2 linked regions of the Diceros bicornis minor genome follow. The protein of the gene in region 2 purifies or fractionates together with the protein of the main gene of each other region. This does not show direct contact. Links are inferred from orthologs where the notes say so. Each region holds a gene or a part of one and is shown on either strand. Other genes may lie near its edges.

Evidence for each region. Proteins that work in one complex are often made in the same cells at the same time.
Region 1: the proteins of PRKAG3 (region 2) and PFDN6 purify together in Homo sapiens (affinity purification with mass spectrometry; 3 studies listed by BioGRID and IntAct, with this or other methods). This does not show direct contact. The link is inferred for Diceros bicornis minor from reciprocal best matches to the Homo sapiens genes PRKAG3 and PFDN6.

What each region holds. Positions count from the first base shown.
Region 1 is NC_080753.1:31,169,805-31,179,759, forward strand, and holds PFDN6 (prefoldin subunit 6), read right to left. Parts: upstream 3,346-9,955; 5' UTR 3,134-3,345; coding exon 3,070-3,133; intron 2,838-3,069; coding exon 2,767-2,837; intron 2,686-2,766; coding exon 2,561-2,685; intron 2,310-2,560; coding exon 2,180-2,309; 3' UTR 1,921-2,179; downstream 1-1,920. Other genes in the region: RGL2 (ral guanine nucleotide dissociation stimulator-like 2), read left to right, coding at 327-441, 568-779; WDR46 (WD repeat-containing protein 46), read left to right, coding at 3,810-3,878, 3,977-4,189, 4,306-4,386, 4,539-4,651, 4,776-4,863, 5,002-5,063, 5,330-5,434, 5,520-5,670 and 2 more. UniProt on the Homo sapiens protein: Binds specifically to cytosolic chaperonin (c-CPN) and transfers target proteins to it. Binds to nascent polypeptide chain and promotes folding in an environment in which there are many competing pathways for nonnative proteins.
Region 2 is NC_080776.1:9,184,380-9,195,263, forward strand, and holds the start of PRKAG3 (5'-AMP-activated protein kinase subunit gamma-3), read right to left. Parts: upstream 4,021-10,884; 5' UTR 3,973-4,020; coding exon 3,940-3,972; intron 3,433-3,939; coding exon 3,393-3,432; intron 2,912-3,392; coding exon 2,756-2,911; intron 2,409-2,755; coding exon 2,005-2,408; intron 633-2,004; coding exon 551-632; intron 73-550; coding exon 14-72; intron 1-13. UniProt on the Homo sapiens protein: AMP/ATP-binding subunit of AMP-activated protein kinase (AMPK), an energy sensor protein kinase that plays a key role in regulating cellular energy metabolism.

The DNA of each region.
Region 1 (9,955 bases), on a different chromosome or scaffold from region 2:
AGTTTTAATTCTGACCCTTGGTTTTCGCAGCCGTTTTATTTTGAAGGCTACTTTGCATTAGCTGCTGCTCCTTGAACTTTTGGTGGCCATATTAGGTTTTCAGAACCAACAGCAGTTCCCTGCAGGGAAGCAGCCCTGTTTCACTGGGCACCGTGTGGGCTGGCCTGTGGAGGACAGGGAGCCACCATATTGGGTTTCCCTGGTCACTCACAAGTGCTGGACACGGGTAACCTTTTTTGGTTGGGATCAGTGGCTAGGGTTGAAAGGATGGGAAGTAGAGATCATCATGGCCAATTTATTGCTCTTTTGGTCTCCTGTCCTGCCAGGTGACAAGCCAGGACAAGGCTCCAAGTGTCATCAGTCGTGTCCTTAAGAAAAACAATCGTGATTCTGCAGTGGCTTCGGAGTATGAGCTAGTGCAGCTGCTACCAGGGGAGCGAGGTCAGAGGCCACGAGGGGAGGCAGACTCAGGAGAGTGGTGCCCACCAGTGGGAAAGCTTCCACATCTGGGTGGATGTGGGGGGAACGACTGTGTTTGTGCTCAACATCCCCTCTCTGAACTTACAGAGCTGACCATCCCACCCTCGGCTAATGTTTTCTATGCTATGGATGGAGCTTCACACGATTTCCTCCTGCGGCAACGGCGAAGGCCCTCGACTACTACACTGGGCCTCACCGGCAGTTCCTCTGCCTCAGGAACTCCCCCAAGCGAGGGAGGAGGGGGTTCCTTTCCCAGGATCAAGGCCACAGGGAGGAAGATTGCCCGGGCACTGTTCTGAGGAGGAAGCCCTGTTGGCTCACAGAACTCATGGTGGCCATACCAGACGTGGGCAGGCATCCTGAATGATGGCAGTTGTGTCGCATTGGGAAGAAATCCAGAGAGGTGGCCAACCACCCTGGGGCAGTGAAGTGCTGCTAGTTTACCAGACAGCCGAGGGATCCAGCCCTGTGGGAACTGGTACTCTTGGTAACCAAGCTGGAAACCTGTGTACAGCTCCCCAATTTCTATGAATGCACGACACGCCTAGTACTGGGAAAGGGGGTCAATTTCTGATTCCTGGCCACATCCTAGCATGCCAAGGGCCAAGGCAAGGCCTAGAATTAAGGGGAGAGGAAAAGCCTAGAGGCTCTGAGCCCTGGGGAGAGGGGATGGCACAAAGTAGGTTCTTGTAGGAGTTCCTATTCCTACTGTGGGGGTTCATGTCACTGTGACAACACTAAGATAATAAACCAAAACACTACCTGAATTCTACCCCCCTGTCCTTGCAGTGCATGGGAACCAGCTGCTGGGAGTAGGGGTGGGGAGTTGGCTGAAGGTAGACACCATGGAACAAGAAGGAGCCCAGTGTTTTCTATCCCCATGAAGAGCTGAAAGCGAGGTGCTGGTGAAAATGGTTTCCTCAGAATGGTTTATTTCTCCCCAGCAACCTCTCTAACCCGGTCCCTTTATTTGCTCTTAAATTTTTCTCCTCATTTGTCACAGACCCATGTCAAGTACTAGCCACCCAATTAAAGTGATCAGTATGAAGACCTCCCCTGGCTGCAAGTTTGTAAGAAACGATTTTTGGACAAAGAAATGGAAGAACAACTTTGTGGACAATGGACAAACTTAGAGGACATCACAAAGCATTACATGTTGGGATTTTAAATCAGTTTAAGCTACATTCAAACAAATTCTAGGAAGAGAGAGGCTAAAAAGAACTAAGAGAGACACCAGGACTATTTGGAGGATAACAAGTAACCATAGCAAGGAGGGTCACCACATTTCAGCCTGGGGTTTCAGGTTAGAGAATTGTGAGTTCTTCAATTAAACTGCCTTTCCCAACAATTCCTGCATTACAAATGCCCTTCCCATGTTTCCTAAAGACGTGTGCCAACAAAGATAAGAGGGAGTTAAGGGTTGTATACACAGGCAAGTAGTAAGTTTAAGAGAGATTTTAGTCTCAAGAAAGAAAAAACGATTACTCTACCACAGACAGATTCCAGTTGCAAGAATCTGGACCTGTGGGAGTAATGTAGGTGACATATATATAAGGTGGAAGGGGCGGGGGGAATGGATGGAGAATTACCACAGAAGTGTCTGGTCAGGAAACAGCTAGAAGTTTTCACATTTTATTAGCTACAGTATAGATCCTAGAGCTGCCTCATTCCCTCCCCTCCCCGCCCCCCCACCACAGGGTCAGGCCTTCCCAGGAGCCCCTGCCTTTGCTGCCTGGGCCCGCTGGAACTCCTGCTGCAGCTGGGCAAGGGTCTCCCTCTGTTGCTCTGACTGCCGCTCGAGGTCCCGGAGCTGGGATTCATATCGCTTACTGAGGAGAGGCAAGAGAGACAAAAAAGCAAATGAGAAATGAGGGAGACTTACTATTGAGTGTGCTGCAGACAAGAAAGAGATTGGTGGAAAACTTGAGATCTAGGGGAAGGACAAGCAGCATTAAAAGGGAAGGGGTTAGAGGAACTGGACAAGTGGGGGCTACCCTGAAGAGCTACTCTACAATGGCTCCTCAACACCCCTACTCCAACAGTGTCAGATGCATCACAGGGCAGTGGAACAAAGACTCACATTTCAGCTGTGATGTAGTCCAGCCTCTTCCCCACTGTGGCCCGAGCCTCCCCCAGCTCCTGTTTGACCAGCACAGGACCCAGAAGTTTAAAGACCACGTTGGACCCATCCAGCAGGGCCAGTTCCTGATGGAAGAATGGGATATATATGATCACAATCACTGCCACTACAGGTCCCTCCTCGCCCCACAAATCCCAGTCTCTCACCTCCTTCACGATATTATTTTCTGTTAGTTGTGCCTCAAGTTTCTGCCGCCCTGACATGGATTTACTCAAGTCTGGGGGGTGGGAAGAAGGACTTGATTAGAGACATCAACAAATGTGTCCCCTGATCCCTCCCAATCAGAAAATGGAGCTGAGGAAGTGGACAAGGATGGGGACGGCGGGTCAGTGGGTGGAGAAGGGGCTGCACGCGGGGGCCTGGGTGGGGCAGAAAACATCTTGGGATGGCTTTGGGTTCTGAGCGAGTGAGGGGATTGGGGCGAGGCTGCACCGACCCTGCCCCCTTACCCTTCTGTAGCTGTTGGTATTTCTCCACTTCTCCCTGTAGCTTCTTCTGGATCAGCTCTGCCATGGCGGGGACGGAAGCCTGCGGCGAGCGGGCGAGGGGCACTGGGTCTCACACTCTGGAACGTGCCCGAGCTCCCTTTCTGGCCGGGCCTGCGGAAATGACAGCGCTCTTCAGAGGCAGCCTCTCGGGGCACCGCAGCCTCTCTCCGTCCCGGATATCGACTCTACCCCGGCCCCACGAGGTGCCGGGCGAAACGAGACCCCAGACCCCTCAACCGACACCCTACCCTACTCACGTTCTCCCTTCAGTACTAATAAACCCGGAAGCAAACAAAGAATGCTGGGAAAAGACGGCGCCGGAAGCTGTCCTCTGACGTATGCCGGGAACTGTAGTTTTGACATGTTTAATGAATGGTGTTCTGCTAAAAAGACTGGACTCGGAAGGTTTTAGGCAAGATGGGGAAACGAAGCTGGAAAAAGAAACTGCCTCGTTCCTTGTGCCCTGGCCCCGGATTTGCCTTTCTTTCATTACTTGGGCAAAACCTGCCGCTCAGGTGGGCGAGGGCGAGGCTGCCCCGCACCTCCCTGGGGAGCGCGCCCTCACTCAAGATGGCGCCTGGAAGGCTTCAGACCCGGTGCGTGCTGATTGGATGACGGCCAGAGGACTTCCGGGAGTTTTCAAGCGGACTGTTGGACAGCTGAGAGAAGTTTGCACGTGGATCGTGGTTCAGGTGGGCTAGATGGAGACGGCCCCCAAGCCAGGAAGGGGTGTCCCGCCCAAGAAGGACAAACTTCAGGCCAAGAAGAAGGTAGAGACCTCCCTGGGGTGGAAGGGAAATTTTTAACTGCGGGGTCGGAGGGGCGGGGCGCGGGCAGCGGAGTATCAGGGATCCTGATCTGCCGGTAGAAACCGCGGCGATACTGGGAGGAAGAGACCACTCCGACAGCTGCCGCAGCCTCTCCAGGCCCCCCTCAGAACAAGAAGAGAAATCGAGAGCTCCGCCCCCAGAGGCTAAAGAATAATTACATCACAAAGAAGTCTCGGATCTCCAAGAAGCCCCAGGTCCCGAAGAAATCCCGAGAACGGAGAAATCCGGAGCCTCAGCGGAGCTTGTCCGGGGTGAGCCTGGGACCGGATCGGGTGGCGGGGCAAGTCGCCTTGGGCTTTGAGGTTGCGAGGGTTGGGATTAACCCGAGCCTCGAGCCTGTCTGTTAATTGCCTCCTCCCTGCCCCAGGCGCAGGATCCATTTCCAGGCCCCGCCCCCGTGCCTGTGGAGGTGGCTCAGAAGTTCTGTCGCATTGACAAATCCAAAAAGGTGAGGACCAGCCGGGGGGGAGGGGGGCGGGGGGGGGTTGCAAGCAGGGAGTGACTGGGTGAGATGAGTGGAGGCGGGACCAGGTGGCTGTCTTGTGACTCCACATATTTGCTGGTTCTTCTCGCGCTTCTCTACCACCAACGATGTTATAGCTGCCACATTCTAAGTCCAAAACCCGAAGCCGAGTTGAGGTGGCTGAAGCTGAGGAAGAGGAGATAAGTGTCAAAGCTGCTCGTTCTGAGCTGCTGCTTGCTGAGGAACCTGGGTAAGTGGACCCTAATGTGGGCCTCCCCAGCCCCCGCTTTATGGCACTCTTCTTTCTCCTTTTTATGTTGGTACACCCACTTCATATTAGGAAGCTTTGCTGCAACCTTACCACTCACTTGCAGGTTTCTGGAAGGGGAGGATGGGGAGGACACGGCAAAGATACGCCAGGCCGACATCGTGGAGGCTGTGGACATTGCAAGTGCAGCCAAGGTGAGCCTGAGGATGGAAAAGGGGCCAGTGAGTTGATTGGTGGAGCAGAGCAAGATGGACATGGGGACTAGAAGAGGGAATTACTGAAGGGAGCCAGCTCTTCATGATCCTTTTTCTTTTTGCTCTTCCCTTTCCCAGCATTTTGACTTGAACTTGAGACAGTTTGGACCCTACAGGCTGAATTACTCTCGAACTGGGAGGTAAGGTTGAATTCCAGTGACTCTGGAACTAGGACATAGCGGTGTCTCTTTATCACGTCAGCCAAGCCCACCTCAGCCACACCAGCGTATGTCTGGGGTGTTGAGTGGGGAGGGTCCTGTGATTTGCTTGCATGTGAGAGAGAGCATGTGTAGCAACATCTCTTCTCTCACCTGGAGAGGAGGAGCTGGCGTGGGGCAGACCTCAAAAGGTCTGAGTCAGGGTGCTCCCCTGCATTGACACCGTGCCTATACCCCACCTCCAACAGACACCTGGCTTTTGGAGGGCGCCGGGGTCATGTGGCCGCACTTGACTGGGTGACAAAGAAGCTCATGTGTGAGATCAACGTCATGGAGGCCGTGCGGGACATCCGGTCAGTGGGGTGAGACAGCCCATCCCTGATTGAGTGACAGCCCGTGACGCCTTTTCCCACTGAACCACTTCTCCCGTCCTCCCAGGTTTCTGCATTCGGAGGCACTGCTTGCTGTTGCTCAGAACTGCTGGCTTCACATCTACGACAACCAGGGCATCGAGCTCCACTGCATCCGCCGCTGTGACCGAGTCACGCGGCTTGAGTTCCTGCCCTTCCACTTCCTCCTGGCCACAGCTGTGAGTGGCTGTGGAGCACAGGGACCTGGTGGCAGCCCTGGAGAAGACTGCCCTTCCCCTGGGACCACAGTGGAGGGAGGACAGAGGGCAATCACGACTCATTCTCTTCCTCTCTTTCTCTCTCTCTCATAGTCAGAGACAGGGTTTCTGACCTACCTGGACGTGTCAGTGGGAAAGATCGTGGCAGCTCTGAATGCTCGGGCTGGACGGCTCGACGTCATGACTCAGAACCCTTCCAATGCCGTCATCCATCTTGGACACAGCAATGGTGCGTCCCTGGCTGGGCTTTGACTCCCTGACCATGCTGACTTGCTTTTTTCTATACTGTACTTCATGAGTACTTACCTCCCGCTCTTGTTACCTCTTGGCGTTGAGTCCCCATTTTCTCAGGTTTAATCACCTCAGCGCCCTGTTAGTAACTTCAGCTCTTCTCCTCTGATGTCCAGGTACTGTGTCCTTATGGAGTCCAGCTGTGAAGGAGCCACTGGCGAAGATTCTCTGTCACCGTGGTGGGGTCCGGGCTGTGGCAGTAGATTCTACAGGCACGTAAGTCACTTGTTTGGGGGTCACAGCTGGGAAGAAAGGCATAGAGTCAATGTGTCTTTAGGAGCACAGACTCTGCAGCCAGCTGCCTGGGTTTAAATCCTGCTGTTACCACTGACCAGCCGTGTAAGTGTGGGCACGTTACACAACCTCTCTGTGCCACACTCTCCTCACCCTGGGAGTGAGGACATGAGTGTCTAGCTCAGCACATTTTTCCTGTAGAGTCAGGTAGTAAATATTTTAGGCTTTGCTGGTCAAGAGGCAAAATCGAGGGTATTATGTAGGTACTTAAATAACAACAGAGACAACAAAGCACAAATTTTTAAGCAATGAAATTCAAAATATAATGATTTAATACAAAATCTTTGTAATATAGGTCTACAAATGGGAAGAATTCGATTCCTCTTTTTGAAGATAACATTTTGCTTAATTGAGGTTCATGGTTAGTGTTCCAAATCACCAAACTAAATTGCAAATGTTTGTCTGTTAATGCTCATCTGTAAAGAGATTTTCTATATTTCATCTTTGGAAACATCTTTTCACACAGATAGATGATGAGACAGGTGGTCTGTGAGGTGCTCAAAGTGCTGTCAGTTATAACCATGTCACTGAGACTTGTCATGCGCTGGGCAGCAGTGGGAAGCGATAAGATGCCACACACAGTGTCTGTCTTGACCTCTCTACTGTGCTAGTGTAACGGAGAAGCAGCCACAGAACAAGTAAATGAACAAATGTGGTTGTGTTCCAATAAAACTTTATTTGTGGACACTGAAATTTGAGTTTTGTTTAATTTTCACATCTCAAAATATCCTTCTTTTGATTTTTTTCCAACCACTTAAAAATGTAAAAACCAGGGGGGCTGGCCCCACGGCGTAGCAGCTAAGTGCATGCGCTCCGCTGCTGGCAGCGCGGGTTCGGATCCCGGGCGCGCACCGATGCACCGCTTGTCAGGCCATGCTTTGGCGGGGGTCCCATGTAAAGTGGAGGAAGATGGGCACGGATGTTAGCTCAGGGCCAGTCTTCCTCAGCAAAAAGAGAAGGATTGGCATGGATGTTAGCTCTTGTAGGCTGTTCAGAGATAGGTGGTGCAAGGCTTTATTTGGCTCATGGGCTGTGGTTTGCCCAGCCCTGGGCTTAGCTCATAGAGCTGTTGTAGGCGTTACAGTGAGGTAAGGCACGTAGAGTTTAGCGTGGTGCGGGGTGAACGGAGTGCACCATGTTTCATCCTCATCCTCAGCGAAGATGATCGTGCTCTTTAGGTCTGGCTGGTGCTGTGAGGGGTGGGGGTGGTGGGTCCACTTTGAATCTCTGCTCTTTCTGAGAGAGCTTTGGCATTTCCACAGCTCTTCTGATCTGTATGTGTCTCTGGATCTGGCAGACTGTTTCCCGTACAAGTTCCCGTGTGTTTTCCTCTAATTCCTTTCATCTGTCAGGCATTCACCAGGCACCTGGTGTGGGCTGGGCTCTACACTGAGGTTCTGGGGGTATAAGGATGAATCGGCCATTAAGCCTGTCCCAGTGTGTTGTTCCATACACTTTATTTACAAAAACAGGTGGCTGTGGTACAGGAATGATTATCCAGGTCACGCACTTAGGTTCTACTCAGTTGTCTTCTGTCACCCCAGACTGCATGCGTCCATCAAGGGATAGGTCACCTCTCTCCCAAAGTTCCTCCTTGCCTGCCCCCTTTCTGCCACATTTTCCTGTCACCCACAATATGACTTCTTTGCCACCTCTAGCCTCACAGCCCGTGTTCTTCAGCCATCAGTAATAGCAGGAATCCAAAGCACCATTCACTGAGTGCATTCTGGGTGCCCAGGCTCTGCTACTTGCTTTGGTGGTATCACTTCATGACCACTCACTACCCCCCGTGACGTCCTGACTGCTTTTCCCCTCGAGGGTCCTCCAAGTCTGTTCTCTCCATCCTTGCCGTTTCTGCGGACATGCGTGATGCTCACAGCCGGTTTCCAGCCTCCAGTTCTTCCTCCTCCTGGCGTGCCCCGGGTGTGTTGTCAGAATAATCTTTCCCACAAGCTGCTTTCCTTTTACACTGCTGCCCAGGCATCTTCTACATTAGGTATAAACTACATAACTTTATTTTTAAACTGTTTTTAAAGAAAAACAAGAAAAGGAAAAGCCCAGTGGCCACCAACTTATGAAAGCCTTCCAGCTGCTCAGACCCCCTTGGCCTCCCACAGTTGTGTCTTGGTGGACAAGTGGTTTGGTTCCGCCCTTTTACTCCATATCTGTGGCAGCCTGGCTCTGGGAGAGTGGGGAGGCCTGTCCCAAGGCTTTCTGCCTTCTGTGGGCCACTGGACCTAAGTAGTTGGCCTTCCCTGGGCCGCCTGGGTCAGCTGCTCCTGTGCCCAGGGCTTAATCAGTTAGTTCACTGAGGTTTGGTCAACGATTGATGCTGAACAGCTCTGGGCCTTGATCTTAGGCACACCCCTGCTTATCTCTGGTTCTCCTCAGAGGCGCCTTAGACAAGCCACAGAGGCTCCAGAGATGAGGCTTACTGTCTTCCTCAAGAGGTGTTCTGGGAGCTTGCATTAGGATTGGATTGGGTTCTCAAAGCCGAACTGTTTCTTGCAAGTTTGGTAGCATGATAGCGTGGCCTGAATGCCCATCTGGCCAACGGGCTGGTATCTGCACAGGGGATCCCTGTGTGTAAGGTGGGTGGGTATGGGGTGAGGAGCCAGCATGTGCCCCTGAGTTGTTGGTTCACTGAAGGGTGTGACCCTGTGTCCCAGGAGCCCTCAGTAATTCCTGGTTTGCGCTTATAGCCTTTCCTTCTGGTGGAGCTGGGGCCCTCATTGTCTTGTCTTGTCAGGAGAAGTATCCAACTGGGCCTCTATTCGGCCCCATCACAGGGCAAGTCTCTGCTCATAGGAACACTTCAGTCCCCTCCTCCTGGGTTCACAGCCAAGGCTAGAAAGAGAGTCCTTGACCCTTGGCAAACATACATCCCCCGGCCTGGCTGGTCCCCTTCAGCCTCTGTCTCTGAGGAAGAACTTGAACATAGATAGAAATTCCAACCTCTGAAGGCAAACGGCTTCTGCGGTGCAGGATTCCTTGGAGGATTTGGTCACCAGCCTTGCCCTCCCTCCTTCCAGGGAAAGAGAGGGCGGGGCAGGGCCCTCTAGCACATGACATCATTAACTCCTAAGGAGGTTTTCTCAGGTCCATGAGTCTTCAACTTGTGTCTTGTCGTGCTGGAGAGCAGTGTTGGGGACCGAGTCCTCAGTATGACTTTCAAGAGCCCCTGCAATTTGTCCCCTCCTGGTCCTCCTGACCATATTTCCCACCAATCCTGAAAACAAACCTCTGCCTCTGTCTCACTATGTCCACACTCTGATGTTAAGTCATTTGTACCTGCTGTGTCTCTGTTTCTTGTGCTTTCTTGAGAATCCCAATTTTCCCACGAAGTGCTCCCTGCCCCCTGCAGTCTGTCCTTCCCTTCGCTGAGCTGCTATGCTGCCTGTGCGCGCGGTGGAGCAGCACAGTTAGATACAGATTGTTCCGTCCGTTCTCCCTTTGGTTCACATGTCTTCAGTAGGTAAGAGGACAGACACTAGAGAAACAGGCCTGACTTGAATTCTAGCTCTGCCATTCACCCTGAATTCCTTTCTCTGAGCTTCAGATTCCTTATCTGTAAAAGAGAAATAAAAATAGTACCGAGCTGTGTGATGCTTAACCAAGAAGATGCCTGTGGAGTGTTTGTTGTGATGGTAGTGGTTACTAG
Region 2 (10,884 bases):
GTCCAGTTCTCACCAGGGGGGACCTGTAATAGCGATGCAGCACCAGGATGAAGTCTGTGATGGTCAGCATCCCTGCGGGGTTGGGAGGGGAGGTACAGGGGGTCAGCCTGGGGTCCGTGGTGGGAGGCAGGTTGAGGAGTCAGACCCTGCAGTCCCAGTTCTGAGACAACGGTGGGAATGGTGGGAATTGTGGAAAGAGGAGAAGGGCTGCCCCTCCCACACTTGAGAAATGGGGTTCTCCCTTGTACACTTCCCATGTAACTCCTCTCCTTCTCCCCTTTCCCACTCTCCTAATTTCTTCCTCTCCCTTTCCTCTTTTCCTACCTAGCACCTATGACATGGGACCATGGGGTAGCAGAGCTGGAGGGGTCGGCTGGTCACAACTCTTCACAGATGGGGTCTCCCAGGTGGCCACCCCAAGACCAGGTTCAAACATTCCCCCACACTGGCCCCTGACTGGCTCAGCCAAGGGTCTGCTGAGCCTGTGGTGCATTCGAGCTCAGCCCCAGAACTGCCTCACAAGGTCCCTCCTTTCCTTTCCCCTCCTCACCCACAAAAGTCTGCTTCTTGCTGTCCCACAGAGGTGCTGCCCGGACGCCGTTGGCCACCAGCGCAAAGAAGGCCTTCTTGATCTGAGGGCCGGGGAGAACAGTCGAGGGTGAGTTTCTCACTGCGCTTCAGTGGTACCCTGTCCCACGTGCCTGCCTTTCTCACGTCATGGCACCCCCTAGACGTGATCCTTGTCACCCACATTTGCTACCCTGATGACTCCTCCAGCAGGCACACCAAGGTGTGGGAAACTAACTCAGTATTTCCACCCTGAAGTCATATGTGTGTGGACACACACAGAATAGTTTTTGCTAATCTAAGTACTAGAGGTATTTTTAACTACATTTTTGTTGTTGTTAGTGCCATAGAGTCCATTCCAACTCCTCGCGGCCCTGTGTCCAGCAGAGTGAACCCTGTCCAGTCTTTCTGCATCATCCTCTCACCTTCTGGCACTCTATCAGACAATGCTCCGCTGCTATTCACAGGGCTTTCATGGCCAATTTCTTTCGGAAGCGAGTGGCCAGGTCCTCCTTCCTACTCTGTCTAGTCTGGAAGCTCCGCTGAAACCTATCCACCATGAGTGACCCTGCTGGTATTTGAAATCCTGGTGGCATAGCTTTCAGCATCACAGCAACACGCAGCCACCACAGGACGACAACCAACAGACAGACGGGTGGTGTGGTTCCCTGACCAGAAATGAACTCGGGCCGCGGTGGGGAGAGCACCGAATCTTAACCACTAGACCACTGGGGCTGGTAATGATTTATGTAATATTTACAAAACGTTTTTCTCTAAATAAGTTTCACATTGACTCATTTTAGCTTCATCCTAAGCAATACTATCTATAGGTGCTGCTTGTATTTTTCTAATACATATTAAAATAAATACAAAGCTCCAAAAAGAAATATATCTGTTCATATACCACTACAATCAAATTGTGCCCCGTGGACGATACATACGCCATGCTTTGGGCAACACCGCTCTGATATACACGATGGTAAGAATGGAATCAGGCGTTTCGTAGCTCAGCCCAACGGAAGAGCAGGGACCAGAACGCATCCTGTTTTTCTGTTACCGGCAGTCCCCTGCTCCTTGTCCTAAGTCACCCTGCCAGATCTTCCACGTACTTCAGGACTTTGCAAAGTGCTCCCATTTATCCTGGGTTGTCCCAGGAGTCCTCTGAAACTTGTAGGGCAAGGTGGGCATTCCTATCCCCATATTAGAGATGAGAAAGGTAAAGTAACCAACTCAAGATCCTACAGAGATAAGTGGCAGAGCTGCCATGACAATTTTGGGGAGGAGAGAGTAGAAGCTCTCCCCGCACTGGTCTCCATGACTCTAAGAAGGAGTCCTGGAAGGGATCTTGCAGGGGGCCTGGCCTGGCAGGGTGTCCTTGAGGATGTGACACAGGCTGCAGTGCCATCAGGATGGAGGTGGGGCGAGTGGTGGCCTCACCTGCAGCATGGTGTCAAAGATGACCAGCTTGGAGCTGGTTGCCATGGCATCGTAGCAGGTGTGCTCCTGCATGAAGTGCATGTAGACCTGGGCCCCTGGCTTCCGCAGCTCATCGTCCCAGCCCAGCCTGGGTAACAGGTCCTTCGGGGATGGGCACCGGGCAGGCCTCTCTTCCACCAGGCCGAGCTCACACCCCCAGGCTGCTGTGGCTGAGAACTCTATGCCCAGATCCAGATCATCTGTGCTCGAGCCAACGGCTGAGGCTGCATAGTCAGGGGGAAGGATGTCCCTCTCTGTTGGTGGAGTGTCCACTCTGGCCAAGGGAGCAGCTTGGGCCAAGGGTGTGGCCTTGGGGAATGTGGCCTCCAGCCCGGTGGATTCAGCAGCTGGCTTGGATTGTGGACCTGTTTGGGGGAGAGGACAGTAACTCCATCTTCCAAAACACTCTCTCATCTACTGTCTCAGTTCATCCTCACAGTGGCCTTGGGTAACCTGGATGCTGGGGCCCCCATTTTGCAGGTGAGTCTCAGAGAGTCACACCAGATAGCGGCTCTGTCCCATCTTTCTGAGTTGGCTGTGTTGAGCCCCTGGCTCTACAAAGCAGTTGACCTCTCCCAGATGGGGAGACTGAGCCCAAACCCACAAGATGAGGGTTGGGTCCACCTCTGTGTATGGAGGGATCCCTGGCCCCAGGCTCCGGGACTTCCCACTGCCTCTGCTCCCATCTCCCCAGAACTGGTCTTGGTCTTACCTTCCCCCGGGCTTGGCAGCTCCCCCGCCTCCACAGCCTCTTGCTTTGTCCGTCTTGAGGCCTCAGTACCCTGTTTCCCAGGATTTCTTTCTGAGCTGGTGGTCATGGCTGGTGATGGCCATGAAATGCTGTCTTCTTGCTCTAGGAAGCTCATCTCTGGAAGGGGGAATGGGGCCCATTTGGTTAATAAGGAGTAACACAACAAAATCAATTAAAATGTTATTAATAATAATACTTAACATTTGCAAGCTTCCAAAGGTTCTTTTCTCCAATGCATTTCTCATTCAAACCTCATAGTGATCTTACAAGGAAGGCATTACTATTATCTCTAATTTATTAATGAGGGACCTGAGATCAGAGAGGTTAAGCAATTTGCCACAAATCACACAGCTAGTAAGTGATAAATTCAGGGCTGGGTCCAAGTCTTCAGACTCTAGATCCCCCCTCTCTTCTTCCGAGAGAGGAAGGAGGAGGTGAGGGAACGGAGGAAGAAGAAACAAAGAGGAACAAAGACGGAGAAGGAGAGGAAGACAAAAGGCTGGTTAGTGGAGTCGGGGAGGAAGGGGGCCCAGAGAGGTGGGGGACAAAGGAAGTGGGAGAAGAGCTGGGCCCATGAGGAGGGGGCAGCCCCACCTACCCTGATGCTCAGGTCCCCCAAGGCTGCTCCAGGATGGGGCCTGTAGGGAGAAGAATGTCTGAGGGAGTGGGGACAATGTCCTCTGTTCCCAAACCACAGGTCCTTCCTTTCCCACCACATGAACACACACACACACACAAACACACCCATACATGTATACACATACACCCCATAAACACACACACACCCATACACACACTCCACAAACACATACTCATACACACACCCCACAAACACACACACACCATAAACACACACACATGTAAACACCCCCCCCACAAACACACATAAACACACACATCCATACACAAACACTTATACACACTCAGAAACACACATATTCAACCCTTACCAGACACACACAGAACCGCATACACTCACTCACTTAAAGAATATACACACACGGACACCCACATGTTCATAAGCACAGAGAAAATCCAGACCAAACACACACACGCGCGCGCACACGCATGCATTCACACGGTGAGGGGTGCTCTCAGTCCTCTGGCCTCAGCCGCCCAGCTCCGGCCCCCTGGGACCCCTGTACCCCGCATAGTGCATGCTCCAGCTCTGGCTCCATGCAGCCAACAGGATCAACGGAGAGCAAGTGTGGGACACGGTGGCTGGGCAGCACTATTCTGGGCCCGGCCCCTGGCACTCTGCCCTCCCCAGATCGGTTTCGCTCTGATTGGGTGTCAGACGGCGGGAAGGAGGGTCCAGCCACTCAGCTGCTCCAGACCAGCAGCCTGGGGGCGGGGTGGGGTGGGAAGGGGCGCACCTGGCATCTCCATGCCCGGTCCTGGACTGCCTCCTGGGTCTCCCAGGACAAGCGAGAAGGCCTTTGCTGTGGGGGAGGCGGCTTGGAGCATGGCGAGGGCACTGGGGCGGGAGGAGGGGGCTCTCAGGGTCCTGAGTTCCCCCCCGAGGGCCTCTCATCTTTGTCAGGCGCCAGAGGGGGCAAAATGGAGGCAGACTGACCTCAACTTTCTTCCCTGTACAAACTTCAGTGGTGGGTGGTGCTGCAGTTAGAAAGGGCGAGTTGCAGCCAGCTAGGAGGGTGGGGATAAGGGGTTTGTGGGTGGTCCCGGGAGAGTGGCCAGTGTGTGTCCAGATGTCCCCATTTGAGTCCCAGGAGACCGTCCCTCTCTCTGCTGGAGGCGTTGGAGGGGGATGGTTTGGGCGGGTGGGGAGCTGCGAGGATCACCTTAGAGGTGTGCTCGAGGGCTTGGGGCCTGCGATTGTCCACGGGGGAGACACACCTGTTTCTACCTGTGGTTTGGAGGTTGGGCCAGGTGTGCAGGAGCCCCAGTTCCCCCATCCTGCACTCTGTGCTGTCCCTGTATCTCCTCGTGCCAACAGGATCCCTGCCCGGCTCTGGCGGCTGCTCCCGCCCCCCCTCCTTGGCATTCCTGGGGCCTGAGTCAATGTCCAAATCAGGAATGCTGCTGACCCAGCTGCTCCAGCTCCCTCTCTCTGCCCCTCCCGTCCTCCCCTCCTTCCAGCCTCTTCCATCCCAGGCTCTGGCCCTGGAGCAGCCACTCAGTAATGAATTACGGGATTTCTTGCTGAATTTATTGAACGTATTTCCCACCATTCCTCAAAGCCCTTGTCCTGCCTCTGGGGAGCGTGGAGGAGGACAGAGCAGGGAAGGGACTTAGCTTTTCCACGTGTGTCTTGGATAGCATGGGGGTGAATGCAGCCCTCCTTCCACAGCGTCCCTGTGGCCTGTTCCTGCCTGGTCCCGGATGATGGAACTTCTAAGGCACAGCTAATAGGACACCTCAAATGGTGGAAAGATCAAGTGGACCATGCCTGGAGATATGCGGTGCATCAGACCTGGAAAGTCCCCACCCCCTTATGTTCTGGGCCACCTTCACAGCCAAGCCAGACACAGAACAGGCTCAGCTCACACGACTGCCTTCTCCTGCGATACTCCACTCTCCCCTCCACCTCAGACATGCTCCATCTACAAGGACAGTAGCAGGGGCTCCTCTTCAACAGAGTCTTCCCTGGGGGCTGGCCCCGTGGTGTAGTGGTTAAGTTCGACTTGCTCTGCTTCGGCAGCGCAGGTTCGAGGGTTCAGATCCTACGCCACTCATCAGCCGTGCTGTGGTGGCGACCCACATACAAAATAGAGGAAGGTTGGCACAGATGTTAGCTCAGGGCAAATCTTCCTCAAGCAAAAAAAGAGGAAGATTGGCAACAGATGTTAGCTCAGGGCCACTCTTCCTCAGTAAAAAAAAAGAAAAAGTCTTCCCTGATCGTATCCCCCTCACTGCACCATTCTCCTTGTAGAGCATGTGCTGTGTGCATGTCTCAGTGTACGCTGGGCTGGCATTTACATAACAATTCACGTGTCAATATCTTTTGTCTCTAAGTAAAACAGCAGGCACCCTGATGACCAAAATATGTTGGCTGGATATGATGGACAGCCTGTTTTGGGGTCAGATGGACCTGATTAAATTCATGCTCTGTGGTTTGCTTGCCATATGACCTTGGAAAGCGTTGCTTGTTTTCTCTGAGCCTGTTTCCACGAACGTAAAATGAGGATAAAAACATTCTGCGCCAGAGACTGCCAGTTGCCTCCCGGTATCTATTTTTCTCTTCTTCCTTGAATCGCTTGGATTTTAGCTGGAATGGCTGCCTATAATAAAGACTTAGATTCCCAATCTTCCTTACAGCTAAATATGACCTTGTGACTAAATTTGGCCATTACAATGTTAGGGGAAGTGATGTGAACAACTTTCAGGTCAGACCTTAAAAGAAAGAGGCATGAGTTCCCCTCTTCCTTTTTCTTTTCTGCTGTCTGGAATGCTAATGTGATGGCAGGAGCTAGAGCAGCTATCTTTTTTTTTTTATATTTTTTTTGCTGAGGAAGATTCACCCTGAGCTAACATCTGTGCCAATCTTCCTTTATTTTGTATGTGGGTCGCCACCACAGCATGGCTGCTGACAAGTGGTGTAGGTCTGCGCCTGTGAACCGAACCCAGGCTGTCAAAGTGGAGCATGCTGAATTTAACTATGCCATGGGGCTGGCCCCTAGAGCAGCTACCTTGTACTCAAGATGAAAGATGCTTGTTGAGAGTTTTGGAGGCACCCTACCAGGTTTAGACTATCTACAGACTATTATATGAGAGAGAAATAAACTTTCTGGTTTAAGTCGTTCTTAAATTGGGTTTTTGTTACAGCAACCAAACACATATCCTAACTAATGCAGAATTTGGTATCGGGAAGTGGCACTTTTTTAAAAGCTTAAAACAAGTGGTATTGGTTCAGAGACGGAACAGCAGGTAGCAAAGAAAAATATTGCATGCAGGTAAGCTGGTGACTATTGCTTTGTTATAGCAAAACAAACGGCATGTCTGGCATCTATGATGCCTTGAGAGGTGATCATATGCTAACAGAGCCTGTAACTCACAGAAATTGAATGGAAACACTCAGACCATTGGTGCGTATTGCCTGCTGCTTACTGCTACTAGCAAAGTCCTACAAGCGAGATGCACGCAGGCTGGTTTTGAGAGGTGGTTTGGAAGACACAGCCGTAGCAAGGACTGTGCCTGTGGTCCCAAAACTTTCTCAAGCGCACCCTGTTTAGAGACAGTGGGAGCCGGCCCAGTGGGCAGAATAAGGGAGTTCCCTTCACAGCCAAGCATATTTTTTCAGATGGCCTCAAGACAGGCACAGAATTTGGAGAGAGACTAGAAAGTTCACCAAGTCCAGAGTATTCAAGCGTAAAAATTATGTCAAATGAGTCCATTGGCTGTGGTTACTCAAATATGGAACCAATTAGAAGCCTTCTAAGATTTCGAGGGTGTTGTGTTGGCAAAGAAACCATACACCTGGTCTGCACAGCCTGGCTTGAGCCCCCAGTTATCCCCAACACCCCAAATCTGCACTAGCAGGAAGAGGGCTGTGCAAGTCGTAAGGTCTGCAAGAAGAAGGGACATGGTCTCCAGTGCAGCCCCAGAGGATAATGGGTGAGGAATAACTTCCCAGGAGTCCACGCCAGAGGCCACATAGGAGAGCAGAAAGGGCAGATCCTCCCAGAGAGCAGAACCAGGGGCGGCCAGATGCGTTGCCCAAGAACTCACTCCACTTGGGGGGAAGCAGCTTTGCAATTTGCAAAACTGTTAAGATCCCGTGACCGCCGGGGGATTGCCGTGCTTTCCTGTTCCCAGTGGATGTTTTAATTGAGTTTATTCATCCTGTTCCTCCTCCACTGGTGTCTACGGGGAGTGGAAGGGCCCCATTTCCTGCCTTTCGGTTTATAGTCACTAGACCATGAGGACCCCCTCCATACCCAGTTCCACAGAGATCCTGGGCTCTGAGCTGTGCTGTGTCTGGATGGGACCCTGCCTTGCCTCCCTTCGAGGGATGCTGAATGTGTTCTTTGTGAGGGGTGGCCAGCCGGTGGGCTCTGGCAGAGCGGTGTCTATTCTCTCCTTCTTCTTCCTCTACTAGTAAATCCCCACAATTTTAGCTAAGTGTAAGATTATATTTCCCAGCTTCCTTTGCAGCTAGCACTGCCATGTGACTCAGCTTGGCCAATGGGATCTGAGCAGCAACATTATATGCAACCTTAAAGGAAGATTTTCCCCTTCTTACTGATTGGAATTATGATAAGATGGCAGGAGCTGGAGCAGCCATTGGAACCCAAGGGTGGGAGATGCAGGTTGAAAATGATAGAATCTTCCCCACTCCCATACTGGCCTGGCTACCTCTGGACTGTTATGTTATAAAGAGAAATAAACTTCTATCTTGTTTAAGCCGTTGACAAATCGACCCTCTGCTACAGCAGCCAAGCCTCTCTCTAACTAATGCATTTACATTGCAGGATGGGGGCAGGGTTAGAAATTACAAATGTATATAATGATGCAGTGCTTAATATCTACCAGACCCTGCGAAACACGGTGTGAGCAGTATGCCATGTAATCCCTCACAACTCTAGTGGTAAATACTGTTATTAGTATAATTTTACAGATGAGAAAAATCGAGGCACAGAGAGATTTAGTAACTTGAGGAAAATCTCAAAGCTGGTGTGATGGAGCCGAGGGTCTAATCCAGTGCTTACGGACTCCCACACCACACTCTTAACCACCCAGCTTAATGTAAGTAAGGCACAGGCCTGGCATGTGAAACATGCTCCGTAAGTGGTTACTATAATTGTTAGCTCGGCACCTGCTTCCAGGCCCCCTAGATCTCCAGCTACAAGGCTCTGAAAGCTCTGATTCCTCAGTAGCCATCTCAAGGCCACAACAAGGGTGGGATGGAGGAGGCTTCCAGCTGCGGGCAGACACCAGCGCTGCTCAACCCTAAGGTCTTTGTGATTTGGTGGTTGTAAAGCAGAAGCTCTCTGCGCTGCCCCTGCTCCTTGCCTCACAGAGCCCCACACCTGCTCTTGCGGCCAGCCCGGCCCTACTCATCCTCTTTGGCAGGACGAATCAGTGGAAAGTACTGGCTTTGGTTGGGAAATAGATACTCCTTGGGTGTTGGATTTTAGTCTCCGGTTATGGTGTCATATTTCTTGAAACCCTACTTCTTGGCTCACTCTCAAAACTGGGTGTAATAGGGACACTGCACCCTGACCCTAGGGTGAATTTGGCTGTTATCTCTGGATAGCTGATTTGTCTGGGACATGGGATCAGGATCCTGTTTAAGTGTTATTTTTATATCAGAGAAAGAAAAACAGCTTGAGGAAGCCAAGGGAGAAGACCCATTACTGACAAATCACAAATGGGGTCCCCTGGAGCAGAGTGGCTGTGAGGCTGTGAGAGCAGCCTTCACGTCAATCACCCAGACATCCAGCTCCCATCCTATCTGTGCGGCTGAGACCGAGCAGCATCTACGCCAGTGTCCCGAGGACCTGGACAGAACCAGCACCATGTTAATGCAATCTAGTCTGCCCCACAGGCCCCATTACCGAGCCTTTTTCTGGGAGCTGCTGGAGACTGAAGTGGCCAGATGGCGTTCTTGTGTACGCAGTATCCATTTTACCCCTCTTTTGGCAAACCCCTAAATTTTCCTTCAAGGAACCACAATTCCTCCAATCTCAGAGCATATGGTTTTCAGAGAGGCTTGACTGTGGGTTCCAGGAACTACACCTCCGAGTCAGACTTAGTCAATCAGAACATCAAATTCCCTTGGCCACAGAGAAGAGGGCATTAACCAGATTAGTCCAATGGCGTGAATCCTGGGATTTTTGCTGGGGCTCTTTCCCATTGAATTTGGAGCTGTGAGAATGCAAGTATGGAGTTTCCTCTACCATGCAGAGTGGAGCTAGCTGCCTGAGAATGAGAACAGAGGGCAAAAGAACTATAATATGATGAGAAAGACCAGATCCTCCTGACAATCACTGAGCCCCTGGATCAAACTCTACCTAAAGACCCACCACTGCATTTTTCAGTTACTTTAACCAACAGAATCTTTTTAAAAAAAATTATTTGATTGAGGTCATATTGGTTTGTAACATTATGTAATTTCAGGTGTACATTATTATATCAGTTTCTGTATAGACTGCATCATGCTCACCACCAATAGTCTAGTTTTTGTTCGTCACCATACGTATGTGCCCCTTTACCCCTTTTGCCCTCCCCTCTCACCCCCTTCCCCTTTGGTAACCACTGATCTGTTCTTTTACCCATGTTTGTTTATCTTCCACATATGACTGAAATCATACAGTATTTGTCTTTCTCTGTCTGGCTTATTTCACTTAACATAATACCCTCAAGGTCCATCCATGTTGTTGCAAATGGGATGATTTTGTTTTTTTTTTTTATGGCTGAGTAGTATTCCATTGTATATATACCACATCTTCTTTATCCATTCATCAGTTGATGGGCACTTGGGTTGCTTCCACCTCTTGGCTACAGTGAATAATGTTGCAATGAACATAGGGGTGCATAAGCATCTTTGGATTGTTGGTTTCAGGTTCTTTGGATAGATACCCACTGGTGGGATAGCTGGATCGTATGTATTTCTATTTTTAATTTTTTGAGAAATCTCCATACTGTTTTCATAGTGGTTGCACCAGTTTGCATTCCCACCAGCAGTGTACGAGGATTCCCTTTTCTCCACATCCTCTCCAACACTTGTTATTTTTTTGAACTGCATTAACTTTTTTTTTGAGGAAGAGTGGCCCTGAGCTAACATCTGTTGCCAATCTTCCTCCTTTTTTTCCCTTTTCTTTTTTCTCCTCAAATCCCCAGTAGATAGTTGTATGTCATAGTTGTTCGTCTAGTTGCTCTATGTGGGATGCTGCATCAGCATGGCTTGATGAGTGTGGCACGTAGGTCCACATCCAGGATCCGAAGCTGTGAACCCCAGCCTGCCAAAGCGGAGTGCACGAACTTAACTGCTACACCGCTGGGCCAGCCCCCAAACTTTGTTATTTTTTGTCTGTTAATTACAGCCATTCTGACAGGTGTGAGGTGATATCTCATTGTAGTTTTGATTTGCATTTGCCTAATAATTAGTGATGTTGAACACCTTTTCA